Linked DNA regions of Macaca mulatta. The protein of the gene in region 1 binds, or shares a complex with, the protein of each later gene. Links are inferred from orthologs where the notes say so. Each region holds a gene or a part of one and is shown on either strand. Other genes may lie near its edges.

The links.
Region 2: SNRPD1 (region 1) and SNRPG share a complex: the UniProt entries of both Homo sapiens proteins name them as parts of the SMN-Sm complex. The link is inferred for Macaca mulatta from reciprocal best matches to the Homo sapiens genes SNRPD1 and SNRPG.

What each region holds. Positions count from the first base shown.
Region 1 is NC_133423.1:70,796,126-70,803,579, reverse strand, and holds the start of SNRPD1 (small nuclear ribonucleoprotein Sm D1), read left to right. Parts: upstream 1-3,512; 5' UTR 3,513-3,620; coding exon 3,621-3,634; intron 3,635-7,454. UniProt on the Homo sapiens protein: Plays a role in pre-mRNA splicing as a core component of the spliceosomal U1, U2, U4 and U5 small nuclear ribonucleoproteins (snRNPs), the building blocks of the spliceosome.
Region 2 is NC_133418.1:54,434,312-54,441,806, reverse strand, and holds the start of SNRPG (small nuclear ribonucleoprotein G), read right to left. Parts: upstream 4,585-7,495; 5' UTR 4,497-4,584; coding exon 4,465-4,496; intron 4,349-4,464; exon of another isoform or gene 4,018-4,348; coding exon of another isoform or gene 4,010-4,017; intron 2,823-4,009; exon of another isoform or gene 2,722-2,822; coding exon of another isoform or gene 2,675-2,721; intron 195-2,674; coding exon 172-194; intron 1-171. UniProt on the Homo sapiens protein: Plays a role in pre-mRNA splicing as a core component of the spliceosomal U1, U2, U4 and U5 small nuclear ribonucleoproteins (snRNPs), the building blocks of the spliceosome.

The sequences.
Region 1 (7,454 bases):
CCCACAGTGCTGGGATTACAGGCGTGCGCCACCATGCCCAGCCTGAGGAGCTGAATTTTTAAATTTTATTTAATTTTTTTTCATTTTTAAGGGTCTTGCTGTGTTGCCCAGGTTGGCCTTGAACTCCTGAGTTCAAGTGATTCTCCTGCCTCAGCCTCCCTAGTAACTGAGCCCATGCACTGCAGGGCTGGCTATTTAATTCTAAATAGCAACATTCAGGCATTATTCATTATCTAGGGGCTCATTGATATCATCACAGGTTTTAGTTTTTTAAAAACTCTGTCCTTGGTTGGGCACAGTGGCTCCCTGTAATCCCAGCATTTTGGGAGGCTGAGGTGAGAGGATCAATTTATTCCCAGGAGCCTAAGGCTGCAGTGAGCTAGGATCACACCACTGCACCCCAGCCTGGGCAACAGAGCAAGATCCTGTCTAAAGGAACAAAGAAAGCAAGAAATAAACAACACTATGTCCTGAGATTGATTCTTCTCCTGGTTGTAAGGAAGTTCCCAACAGCTCCAGGGGTTACTCCGTTTCCATTCATAATCAAAAGAAAAGAACTTTCCCTCCAAAGGTCCGACTGGATCAACTTAGATCCCAAACCTACTGTGAACAAGTAATGGAATGGACTATTAAAAGGGTAGAGTCAGCTTTCTTAGGACCACAGGGATCAACAGAAGAATATTAGGAACATTTGGAAAGACAAAGGGATCGACGTTGAGAGGGCAACACACAAATATCCATTTTAGCCTTGTTACTCAAATTGATGTGCATAGAGTAGGGGCAGCTTCATCAGCTGAAGGCTTTTTAGAAATGCTGAATTTCAGGCCCCCCCAACAACTGAATCAGATTTTCATTGTAAAGTTTCCAGGCCAGGCGTGGTGGCTCAAACCCGAAATCCCAGCACTTTGGGAGGCCAAGGCAGATGGATCATCTGAGGTCATGAGTTCGAGACCAGCCTAGCTAACATGGTGAAACCCCATTTCTACTAAAAATACAAAAAATTAGCCGGGTGCAGTGGCATGTACCTGTAATTCCATCTACTTGGGAAACTTAGGCAGGAGAATCATTTTAACCCAGGAGGCAGAGGTTGCAGTGAGCTGAGATCATGCAATTGCACTCCGGCTTGGGCAACAAGAGTGAAACTTTGTCTCAAAAATAAATAAATAAATAAATAATAAAGTTTCCCCAGGTGAGTCCTACACACATTAAACTTTGATAAATATTGTCCTTTTTTCTTCTTCTTTTTTTGAGACTGAGTCCTGTTCTTTTGCCAGGCTGGAGTGCAGTGGCACGATCTCCACTCACTGCAACCTCCGTCTCCCGGGTTCGAGCAATTCTTCTGCCTCAGTCTCCCGAGTAGCTGGGACTACAGGCATGCGCCACCATGCCCAGCTAATTTTTGTATTTTTAGTAGAGATGGGGTTTCACCATGTTGACCAGGATGGTCTCAATCTCTTGACCTCGTGATCTGCTCATCTTGGCCTCCCAAAGTGCTGAGATTACAGGCGTGAGCCACCATGCCCGGCCGATAAGTATTGTCTTACAATATCTAAGAGTTCTGTTGAGCAGAGGTGAAGTCTGGACTAGAGATATAAATTCAAGTTATGGTTTTGGAGGAGATTACCAGGTTAAAAGAAAAAGTATACATAAAGGGACTACAGCTGCAAGCCGGGAAGCACTCTGACATGTATTGGCTCCATAGAGAAGGAGGAGCCAGCTAAGGAGATTTAGAAAGAGTAGTTAGAGGCTGGGCATGGAGGCTCTGGGCCTGTAAACCCAGCACTTTGGGAGGCCACGGCAGTGGAATCTCTTGAGCCCAGGGGTTGGATACTAGCCTGGGCAACATAGTAAGACCTCTTCTCTACGAAATAAAAAATAAAATATTAGCTGGGCATGGTGGCATGCACTTGTGGTCCCAGCTACTGAGAAGGCTGAGGCAGGAGGATTGCTTGAGTCCAGGAGGATCGGTCAAGGCTGCAGTGAGCCCTGATTGTGCCATTGCACTCCAGCCTGGGCAACAGAGCGACAGACCTTGTCTAAAAACAAAACAAAACAAAACAAACAAGAGTAGTTAGTGGGATAAGGAAAAAGGCCAGGTGAGCTTGGCATCCTGAAACCTGAAAGAGGTAAGGGGAGTGTTTGTGTTAAATCTTGATGAAGTTCACACCTGTAATCCTAGCACTTTGCACTTTGGGAGGCCTAGAGAGGCAGATCACTTGAGGTCAGGAGTTCAGGTCATCCTGGCCAACATGGGGAAACCCTGTCTCTACTAAAAAGACAATAATTAGCGGGGCGTGGTGATTCCCCCCTGTAATCTCAGTTACTGGAGAGGCTGAGGCACGAGAATCGCTTGAACCGGGGAGGCAAGGGTTGCAGTGAGCCAAGATCGTGCTACTGCACTCCAGCCTGGGCGACAGAAGGAGACTCTGTCTCAGAAAAACAATAAAAAATTTTGAGGAGATGTTGTGAAAGATGAAGATTGAAAAGTTTGTCTTATAGATCGGAACTTAAAGTGAAAATAATCCGCTACATTGTGTGATTTTATTTTTTTATTTTTATTATTTTTTGAGACGGAGTCTCGCTCTGTTGCCAGGCTGGAGTGCAGTGGCGCGATCTCGGCTCACCGCAACCTCCGCCTCCTGGGTTCAAGCGATTCTCCTGCCTCAGCCTCCCGAGTAACTGGGACTACAGGCGTGTGCCACCACGCCCAGCTAATTTTTGTATTTTTAGTAGAGACAGGGTTTCACCATGTTGGCCAGCACGGTCTTGATTTCTCGACCTCGCTATCTGCCCGCCTCGGACTCCCAAAGTGCTGGAATTACAGGCGTCAGCCACAGCGCCCGGCCCATTGTGTGAATTGCTTCAGGTACATTAAGTAATGCTAAGGTTCCTGGCGTTGGAACAGAATTAGCATAATCCTTTGGGCTTCTCTAAGAACTTATTTTCGTTCAGTGAGGAATTTATATTAGGTGCTGCACTCACGGTGCCCTGCTATTCAGAAACGTGATGGTGACAGTACGTGTGTGTGTGTGCGCGCGCGCGCGCGCGACGGAGTTTCGCTCTTGTTGCCCAGGCAGGAGTGTAGTGGTGCGATCTCGGCTTACTGCAACCTCTGCCTCCCGGGTTCAAGCGATTCTCCTGCCTCAGCCTCCCGAGTAGCTGGGATAACAGGCGCCCGCCACCACATCCGGCTAATTTTTTGTATTTTTAGTACAGACGCGGGTTTCACCCTATTGGCCAGGCTGGTCTTGAACTCCTGACCTCAGGTGATACCCCCGCTTCGGCCTCCCAAAGTGCGACAGTCCTATTAATTGGATTTAATCTCTTCGAATCTCCCTCTCTTGTGGGACACTTTTCCTCTTAGACCAGCCCTCAACACCCTCAGTCGTGGCAAGGCAACCTCCAGCCGCCAGGGGCCGCAGTCGCGCTCCTCGCGACCGGAAGAGAGTGCGGCCCAGCGCAGCCTCGGCGTTTCCGCCGTGCGTCTGCTGTGCTCCGCGCGCCCTTTACGACCGGAGTCCCTGGAGTAGGCGCTTCCGGCCATTCATACTGCAGTCGGTCAGTATTCGGTTGTTGGATTCTGTGCGCTCTCGGACCCGAAGGGTGACGGCGCCGCTAGGATGAAGCTCGTGAGGTGAGGGAGTGACCAAGCAGCTCCGGGGGCTGTGGAGGGAGGGCTTGGCCCGGAGTCCGGAAGGCTGGGCTCTCCCATTTGCAGGAGGCGGGAAAGCCGCGTGTGCGCGGCCTGCTAACGGCCGGCCTTACTGCGCCCGCAGCTCGTGCTCGGGCCTGGGCTTCCGCCTGGGTCGCTCGCGAATCCCGCGTGTCTTCCAAGATACTGGTATAAAGGCCGAGCCTTTTCTTCCCGCCTAGTGACTTAGAGACTTTCAAGGTACAGCGCCGCCTGGGAGACATCTCGCCCTTACAGTTACTGATTTTCTTTTTGAGTGGAGCTCCAGCCCTACTTAAGAGTACTTAGAAAGCTGTATGAGCTTATCTGGAAACAAACCTGTTTGCAAACTGTTTTAAATCAGAGAAGGACTTCTGGCTTCACAAGTTTTTGTTTTTGTTTTTGTTTTAAATAAGACGGTGTCTCACTTTGTTGACCAGGCTGGTCTCGAACTCCTGGGCTAAAGCGTTCTGCCTGCCTTGCCCTCCCAAAGGGCTGAGATTACCGGTGTGAGCCACTGCGCCCGGCCGATTTTTAAGTTTATCTTTTGATTCTCCTTAGACTTATGATTGATTATTCTACCTCTTTCCTGTTAAGGTAAGCTTTTTATTTAGGAAAATCTCCCAATATAGGGCAGAAATTATCACAACGTAATTGTGGCTGATTACCCAGATGATATATAGTTATTCTGTTTTATTTCTTTCGCGAGAAATAGACCCTGTCACTTAGGTGAGTCTTCTGGAGACTAATTCCAAACTACCTGCGAGTAGATTTGGTTTTGGTCTTTTTCCTTGAGACTGAGCCTGGAACAGAGGCAGACGTTTCTAATAACTAAGCCATCGATTATAAATATTTAGCTTGTTTCTTTCCTGTTGAGTCAAGGATTGTCATTATCCGCTAAATAGTTATTGGGCACCTGTTACCTACTGGGCGCTGGTAATAGTATTTTTTAAAAGGCAGATCCTTGTTGGAGCTTTCTAGTTAGGGGGATGACAGACAAGTAGATAACGTCTGAAATAACGTTTGTTTGAAACGTTTTAAATAACACATAAAAGCCTTCAATATTCAGGGAGGAGGCCAGGCGCAGTGGCTCACGCCTATAATCCCAGCACTTTGGGATGTCAAGGCGGGCAGATCACTAGGTCAGGAGTTCGAGACCAGCCTGACCAACATGGTGAAACCCCGTCTCTACTAAAATTACAAAAATTGGCCGGGCGTGGTGGCGCGCGCTTGTAATCCCAGCTACTGAGGAGGCTAAGGCAGGAGAATCGCTTGAACCCAGGAGGCAGAGGTTGCAGTGAGCTGAGATTGGCCACTACGCTCCAGCCTGGGCAACAGAGCGAGACTCCGTTGCAAAAATAAAAAAATAAAAAATAAAAAATTCAGGGAGGAGTTGGTACAAAAGACAATTAAGATTAATTTTTGTTGTATTTTTATTTGAACTATAATTTTGGATAGGAAGTCATAGAATTTAAAGTGCATTTTTTAGGCTGGACGCGGTGGCTCACGCCTGTAATCCCAGCACTTTGGGAAGCTGAGGCAGGCGGATCGCCTGAAGTCAGGAGTTCAGGACCTGCCTGGCCAACGTGGTGAAACCCCGTCTTTCGAAAAAATACAAAAATTAGCCGGGCGCCTGTAATCCCAGCTACTCAGGAGGCTGAGGTAAGAGAGGCGCTTGATCCCGGGAGGTTGTAGTGAGCCGACGTCACACCACTGTGCTCCAGCCTGGGCAACAGAGCGAGACTCTGTCTCAAAAAAGAAAATTACAACATTTTTTGAAATTTCTCCATACCAGCCGGGCGCGGTGGCTCAAGCCTGTAATCCCAGCACTTTGGGAGGCCGAGACGGGCGGATCACGAGGTCAGGAGATCGAGACCATCCTGGCTAACGCGGTGAAACCCCGTTTCTACTAAAAATACAAAAAACTAGCCGGGCGAGGTGGCGGGCGCCTGTAGTCCCAGCTACTCCGGAGGCTGAGGCAGGAGAATGGCGTGAACCTGGGAGGCGGAGCTTGCAGTGAGCTGAGATCCGGCCACTGCACTCCAGCCTGGGCTTCAGAGCAAGACTCCGTCTCAAAAAAAAAAAAAAAAAAAAAAAAAAAGAAATTTCTCCATACCTGCTAATCTGAATCTTAATCTACTCATAGTTCAATTTTATGTAATACACCTTGGATTTCATTTGTTCCCTTTAAATATATTGCATGTTATGGCAATTTTCCAGTAATTTTTAATACCTGGACTGAATCCTGTTTTGTGTCTTAGGTCAAATATAGAAAGAAAATTTTTTTCTTACCAGAGAATGTATTTTTCCTCCAGAAAATGATTGTTTGACTAACTGGTTTGCGTTTTCAGTAGACTTATTTCTGTATATCAGTTGGTAGTTGTCATCCTTATTCTCACTGTCACCCTAACCAAAAACCTGGGAGGTGAGCTTGACTTTTTCTCTACTGATGTCCTTGACATTTGATACACTGCCAGTTTTACCTACTGCATAAAAGTGTCCCACATTTTCCTGTTTGTTTTTTGGGTTCAGATAGTGTGTTTTGATACTGAGGGACACCGTGTTATCTGACTATTTGATATCTAAGTTTCACTAAGTAGAAAGAATTCAGATACTGAAAGATTCGTCTGAAAATAAGTTGAATCCATTTGGTTCCTGGGTTCAGTTAGGGAGGGATAATTGTGTATTTGTCCTGCCCATAGTAGCCTCCTTTCGTTCTGGTCACCACCATTGAGGTTCAGGCCCTTTTTATCCCACTCATGGATTTTTGTTTTCCTTCTTTGAGGTAAATATCTTTTTTTTTTTTTTTTTTTTGAGACGGAGTCTCGCTCTGCCGCCCAGGCTGGAGTGCAGTGGCGGATCTCAGCTCACTGCAAGCTCCGCCTCCCAGGTTCACGCCATTCTCCTGCCTCAGCCTCCCGAGTAGTTGGGACTACAGGCGCCCGCCACCGCGCCCGGCTAGTTTTTTGTATTTTTTAGTAGAGACGGGGTTTCACCGTGTTAGCCAGGATGGTCTCGATCTCCTGACCTCGTGATCCGCCCGTCTCGGCCTCCCAAAGTGCTGGGATTACAGGCTTGAGCCACCGCGCCCGGCCGAGGTAAATATCTTAATACAATGAAATGCAGCGTATATTTCCTGCTATTGAAAAACATAAGCACTTTTGTAACCTAAACCCCTATCAAGAGAAGTAACATTACCAAAACCTCAGTTTCCTCAAGCCTTTCCCAGGCAACCTCTGACTCCATACCCCTAGATGCAACCAATTTCTTCCACCATACATGAATTTTGCCTGCACTAGAATTTCATGTATTTGGAATCACAAAGTATTTTTGTGTAAAACTCCTTTTACTCACATGTTTTTGAGATTCATCCACATTGTGAAGTGTATCAGTGATGTGTTCATTTTTATTACTGGGTATTAGTACCTTGTACGTTTGGAAGTTCTGTATTTTAGGCTGGGCACAGTGACTCATGTCTGTAATCCCAGCACTATGGGAGGCTGAGGCGGGTGGATCACTTGAGGTCAGGAGTTTGAGACCAGCCTGAGCAACATGGTGAAACCCTGTCTCTACTAAAAATACCAAAACAGTAGCTGGGCGTGGTGGCAGGGCCTGTAATCCCAGCTACGAGGGAGGCTGAGGCCAGAGAATCCCTTGAACCTGGGAGGTGGAGATTGCAGTGAGCTGAGATCGCACCATTGCACTCCAGCTTGGGCAACAGAGCGAGACTCCTTTCAAGAAAAAAAAGCTCTTTATTTTAAAAAATTACAAGAAAAGAAAATAA
Region 2 (7,495 bases), on another chromosome or scaffold:
AGGTAAATAAAATTGTCAAGTTAGGATTAAGTAATCTGTTTAATTAATGGATGTGAATTAGAGGTCCTGTGTGCTTTAAATTTTTATAAAGTTGCTCCAAACATATTGCTAAGACACACGTAAAAAGCAACTGAATGATTTAAAAAAACTCCAAAACAACAACAAACTTACATGATAACTTCTTGTCCATAAATCTGAAAAAGGAAAAGGGTAAAGATTATATAACCAATTAAAAAAATTTAAGCATAAACAAGTACATAAATAGGTACAGTTAAGATAATTTGCTAAAATTTATACAATGGGAATAATGAAATTTAAAATAGTAAAAATACTGTATTGCTGTACAGAGTGAGGGAGTAGGGCGAGGTAGCTCATGCCTGTAACCCCAGCACTTTAGGAGGCTGAGGTCGGAGAATCACTGGAGCCTGCGAAGTTGAGTCTGCAGTGAGCCATGAATGCGCCACTGCATTCCAGCTTGGGCAGTAGAGTGAAACCCTGTCTCAGGTTAAAAAAAAAAAGAGAGGGGGCATAAAGGGTTACCTAAATTAGACATTCTACAACGCAAAGTAACTTGGGAAGAGGAAAGACAATAAAAATGAAATATATTTAAACTATATTAATCTGGCCGGGCGCGGTGGCTCAAGCCTGTAATCCCAGCACTTTGGGAGGCCGAGACGGGTGGATCACGAGGTCAGGAGATCGAGACCATCCTGGCTAACACGGTGAAACCCCATCTCTACTAAAAAATACAAAAAACTAGCCGGGCGAGGTGGCGGGCGCCTGTAGTCCCAGCTACTCGGGAGGCTGAGGCAGGAGAATGGCGTAAACCCGGGAGGTGGAGCTTGCAGTGAGCTGAGATCCGGCCACTGCACCCCAGCCTGGGCGACAGAGCAAGACTCCGTCTCAAAAAAAAAAAAAAAAAAAAAAAAAAAAAAAAAAAAAAAAAAAAAAACTATATTAATCTACATATACTAATGTGAATTATGAAAACATTCTTATTGTTCAATACTATGTTGTTTCATTGACCGAAGTTTCTTTCTTTCTTTTTCTTTTTTTTAAAGAGATGGAGTCTCACTATGTTGCCAACCTGGTCTTGAATTCCTGGCCTCAAAAAATATGCTCCCCCTCAGCCTCCTAAAGTGCTGCTGGGATTACACAGGCATGAGCTACCACATCTGGTCTCGCTAACCTAATTTTCAATGATTGGATTTTATAGTCATAAGAGAAAAACAAAGACTTGCCTACATTTGGTTATTTCCAAAACTAAGTTGTAAAGACAGCAAACAGTAATCAAATCATATCCAATTCAACAAGTATTTTATATTTGAGATAAATAGTGTTCATTTAATATTAAAGCATCAAGCATAAATGTTCAGGGTAGTCTTCAACATTTAAGTATACTTTAGTATAATAAATGCACATTTGAAACTTCAAACAATATGAATTAAAAGAAAATTCTATTTTAGTGGAATACGAGAATACTAAGCCATCAGTCAAACCAGTTTTTAACCTCTTCCATTTATAGGCCAGAAAACATGAAATTTCATTCAAATTTTAAAATATAAAAAAATGGAAAAAAAAAGTTTAGTATATGGGCCATGAAGTGGGGAACTTAGTCAATTTTAATGTATAGGATTATCATGGGAGAATGTAAATATAAAACAAGGAGCATGACTGAAGGAGGGAGTAGATACATTTACAAGTGAAAATATATTTATGGGCCATGTGCAGTGGCTCATGCCTATAATCCCAGCCCTTTGGGAGGCTGAGACAGGTGGATCACTTGAGGTCGGGAGTTCAAGACCAGCCTGATGAACATGAACATGGAGAAACCCCGTCTCTACTAAAAAAAAAAAAAAAAAAAAAAAAAAAAAAAAAAAAAAAAATTAGCCGGGTGTGGTGGTGCATGCCTGTAGTCCCAGCTACTCGGGAGGCTGAGGCAGGAGAATTGCTTGAACCCGGGAGGCACGGGTTGCGGTAAGCCGAGATTGCACCATTGCACTCCAGCCTGGGAATTAAGAGTGAAACTCCATCTCAAAAAAAAAAAAAAAAAAAAAAAAAAAATATATATATATATATATGTATATATATAAAAAAAAGTAATATATATGTAATATTATATGTAAAATTATATATGTAATATATATTACATATTATATATAATATATACACACATTTATGAAGTATGATGAACAAAACTATTTTAATAAGATACATAAAACATATCAAATATAACACAAGATCTTATACAATCTTTACAATGACTTTGCATGCAATTATGGTCTGTCATTTCTACCGTTTTTACAGATGGAGAACTAGGCTTGGAAAAGGTAAATCAATTTTTCGAAGTCACACAGCAAGTGAGAGCAAACACAAATAGTTCAGTCTGACTGGAGAAGAGAACACGTGAGTATTAGCAGCTGTAAGGTTTGGCGTTTGAATGCTGGCTTAAGTATAGATTCAGTTTTGCATACTGTGATAAATTATTAAAGCTGTCACTGGCAAGACCACTGTGGCAGCAAATTTTAAGAAGTGGAAGGAAGAATTCGGTTAAGCCAGTGTATCTCAACTTCTGCACTAATGACACTTGGGACCAGGTAATTTTGTATTGTTGGGGGCAGCCGAATAACGGTAGGATGTTTAGCAGCATCCCTGGTGTCACCAGATTCCTTACCCCCCATTTAAGAACCCCTGAGTTACGCTAAGCCAGAAGGAGGGCATAATGGTGTAAAAGAAGATGCTATCAGTGAGAAAGCAAAGAAAGAAAAAATTTGAAAGTCATTTTGACGGCAGATCTCACGGGATTTCACAATTCATGAAACCTATGGATGAGAAGAGAAAGGTATTAAAACTAGCTTCCTTCTCTGAAATTTTCAAAAACTATGTTATGAATCACAAATAAAATCTTAGATTACAAGTAGAGAATGGTGCTTTTGTTTAAAAAAAGAAAAATCACCATTTCACCAGTCCCTGATGAATCCAGAGGATACTTACATCACCAACTCACCAATAAAATAACTTTCAGATAAAAAGAGTAATTTTCACAATAATTTCTAACTTCTATTTTTCTAACGTTGGGCTATGTTTTAATAATTAATTCCTTAACAGACCTAACTAAAATATACATGAAAGTAGTTTTCATACAAAAGATGGCTTTGATACAAATATACCTTTAAATGCAATATTATTATTATTTGAAACAGAGTTTCGCTCTTGTTGCCCAGGCTGGAGGGCAATTGCTAGATCTTGACTCACTGCAGCCTCCACTTCCCGGGTTCAAGCGATTCTCCTGCCTCAGCCTCCCGAGTAGCTGAGACTACAGGCGCGTGCCACCATTCCTGGCTAATTTTTTGTATTTTTAGTAGAGACGGGGGGTTTCACCATGTTGGCCAGGCTGGTCTCGAACTCCTGACCTCAGGTGATCCACCCACCTTGGCCTCCCAAAGTGCTGGGATTACAGGCGTGAGTCACCGCCACTGGCCGCAAAATTATTAAATAGGAACTTTTCCTTATGTCTGACTTCCAGGGGCCTGGTAATAAATGAACTATACACAAAGCCAACCACATGCTACACCAGAAAAAATTGATTCCTGTAAAAATTTTGCATCCTCTGTGCAATCCAATAAATACATGTAGAATTCCAGCATCAGGGAGTACAAGCAAAACAGAGACGTACTGAGGAAACACATAACCTGTTAAGTCCAGTCAAAAAGTATTTGAGGAGTTTAAAGTTTTACGTTGAGTCCTACATAAATTAAGGCTCTCCTCCTTAAAGTTGTTTGTCTTTACTGGGTGTGTAAAAGAAACTTAAAAAAATTAGCCTTCTCTGATTAGAAAAAAATTAATGTTCTAAAAAAAATTTTATTTTTTAGAACATTAATTTTAGAAATGAATGTTCTTACATAGTTTCAATATCAGAGCAAGATAACACATGACATTCAAGCTTAATGTAAAAATAGGCAACAAAAAAGAATGAGGTTTCTAAGTAAAAGCTCAAAGAAACACCTACAAACACATTCTCTAAGGCTAAAGTGGCTTTTGGATTCCGATGCCTCACGTAGTTTTAAAAACACTTCCCTTCCATCCCCTCCTTAGTTCCTTTAGAGAATTTCCCCCTCTAGCCGTCTATCTAGAATATGATGCTATTAGAGATGTTCAACAAAAGCTGGCATTGGAGATCTTCAAGGAACGAGGGACAGCGCCGGGTGACTAGGGGCCGGAGCGCGGGACAGAGAGACTAGTCGGCCAGAAGGAGGTGCGGTGGCTGCCGGCGGTAACCACGCCAATGCGCGAGCTCTGCGCGGGCTTCACGTCTCATGAGCCGGAGCCTGGCCGGGATGCCGGCGACCTCGGACCGGAAGAAGAAATAAGGTGAAGCGGCTCAAGCCATTCGGCTTGAAACACCAAGGGACTCGGGGGACGCAAAGAAGCGACCACTTCGGTTTGGCTCTCACACATACTTACTTTTTCAACTCGGGAGGGTGAGCTTTGCTCATGGCGTATACTCCGCGGACTCACAGACGCCTTGGAACTGAATGCACGGCTTCCCTCAGGCTCCCGCGGTAGGCCCGGCGTCTTGCGTTTGGCGTCATCGACCTAGTTAGCCAATCGATTGTTGGCAGTTTTTAACACTTCACATCGCGATATCTGAGCGCCTCGGTCATTGCTGAGCTTCCGGTTGCGTCGTCAGCTATTGGCCAGGACAGAGGGGTGGGCCCTCTAGGCACCTTTCTAAATTCGGTTTTCCTTGGGCAAAATTGAGATAACGGGTATTCTGACGATGGAGTATCCGTGTTCTTGTCTATGGAACAGCCAAAAAAAAAAAAAAAAAAAAAAAAAAAAAAAAAAAAGCCTGGCGCCGTAAATCCCAGAACTTTGGATCTCTTGAGCCCAGGAGTTCGAGACCAGCTTGGGCAACATAGGGAGACCCCCTCCTCTATTTAAAAAATAAAATTGAAATACTGAGATAACAGTCCCCTCTCTAACTTCTGGGCAAACCCGGCAAATCCCGCATGTCTGTGGATCGTATCGCTTGTTTTCTTCATCTAAACCAAAATACCAAATAATGATCCCTGGAGGAATGGGCCTCTATATTTCTTTTTTTTTTCTGAGACAGTCTCGCTCTGTCCCCCAGGCTGGAGTGCAGTGGCTCGGTCTCGGCTCACTGCAAGCTCCGCCTCCTGAGTTCACGCCATTCTCCTGCCTCAGCCTCCTGAGTAGATGGGACTACAGGCACACGCCGCCACGCCCGGCTAATTTTTTGTATTTTTAGTAAAAATGGGGTTTCACTGTGTTAGCTGGGATGGTCTGGATCTCCTGACCTCATGATCCGCCCGCCTCGGCCTCCCAAAGTGCCAGGATTACAGGCGTGAGCCACCCGCGCCCAGCCGGGCCTCTATATTTCTTTGGCAGGTATCCTACAGCATACTTTCAGACCAAGTAGGGTTCCGGTAACATGCAAATTAGCAGCCTCTGCACCATTTGGAGAGTAAGGTGACTGGGCCTGTCTCCAAGAATTTCAATCTATTTCCGACTGATGGGTCTTGCAAAAAAAAATTTTTTTTTGTTTTGAGATGAGGTCTTGCTCTGTCACCCAGGCTGGGATGCATGATGTGATCATGGCTCACTGCAACCTCGAACCCCTGGCCTCAATCAATCCTCCCACCTCAGCCTCCTGAGTTGTTTAGACTACAGGCGCAAGCCACTGCACCCAGCTAATTTTTTTTTTTTTTTTTTTTTTTTTTTTTTTTTTTTGTAGAGACGACGTCTTGCTTTGTTGCCCAGGCTGTTCTCGAATTCCTGGCCTTAAGAGATCCGCCTGCCTCCAGCTCCCAGAGTGCTGAGATTACAGGCATGAGCCAGCATGCCTGGCAGTTCTGCAATTTTTCAAACATTACCTCCAGAACTCACTGATGTGCCATTGCCCCGTATATAAAACGTGAAGTGCAGCACACAAACATTCTCTAATACAAGGTATTCCTTTTTCATGTCAAGATGTGTAAAAAGTGGCCTCGGACTTGTTCCCAGTTATGTTACCCCAAAATAGGAGAATGCACGGATTATAGAAGACTAAACCAAAATAGAATGCCGTGTTGATTTTAAATAGGGGATGGTTCTCAAAAATTCAGTTAATTCCTGATATTCTGGAATGACTCTATTTAAATACCAATGATAGTAAAGACTTAAACTCATCACATATTTTGCACTCTCTTAGTACTCAAAATCTTAGACACTCTATTTTTTTCTAGCAGGGTCATAGCTTTGTACCTTTACTACCACTTGCTATTAGTGTTTAGTTGAAGCTAGAGACTGACATAGATAATGAATTTCTCTTTTTAGCCTCATAGATAATTTCTTTTCTACATTAATGAACTTCGAGTCACAATGTCCTAGTCTCCTCTCAAAGTTTTTCCCGTTTACAATGAACCAGTTCTGAATCTGAACCATAACAACTAATTTCTGCTCTTCTGGACATTTTAAACTCATTTAACCTTTTAAAAGGAGAAGCATCCTGAGAAAGTTATATATTCACTGCCCAGATATAAGGAAAGAAAACACAATAGTGGGGAGAAAATTAAACCTTATTTATTTTTAAAACCAAACCACTAAGAAAATATGTCACAGCCTAGAAACAGCAAATGGACAGGCTATAATTTCAAGTAATAAGTTGGTGAAAATACAACGAAGTTGCTATCAAAACAGTAAGTTGCCACGCCAGGGCAGGAACACTGCCAGCTGCACAAGCCCCAGACAAAAATGGTATTTGGTAATGGGGGCTGCCTCTCCTTTGCTCTAAGGGAGTCAGCTCATCCTAGCCCAAGTTGCTTACTTTTTCTCCCTTGAATTCCTATTGTCAGGGGTTTGTCTCAATTGGGCTCTGTTAATTCAGGGGGCTAAGTAGGCAATGTTAGGTTTAGGCTTTCATTCCATCTGTTCTAATAAAACCAGGTTTTTCCAAATCCAGTACTTCATTACTCTGTTGTAATAAAGTAGCCAACTGCTCCTCTTTTACTGTTCATTCCTAGATACTAGTATATATCACAATCAAAACCCCCTTCTCTTCAAGGGAAAAGTGTTACTGCAGGATTGTCCTGACATTTTGCTATACACAGCCTCAGGGGCCATCAGCCAGTAATTCTGCTTCCCATAATTAGTGTGTCATCACCTCTCATGTTTCTGCATGGTCTCCAGGCTGAAAGATGCAGCATGTAATAACTTTAAGAAACATACATCCACATCTTGATGACCAGAAATGGGGATCCACAAGGAACCTTTCAAAGTTCTTATCCAAACTAGTCTCCCTCCCAATTCCACATCTTAAGATCAACTTGTATGTCCTTGTATAAATTACCCAAAACCTATAAAACAAAGACCCAGAAAACTTTCTTTCCCTTCTAAGTTAGTGACCTCATTGATTTTGTTTCACAGCTTATGGAAAATGGTATGGTGACACTTCTGGTAAACAGGATGTTGGCAACAAAGAGAAAATATTTCT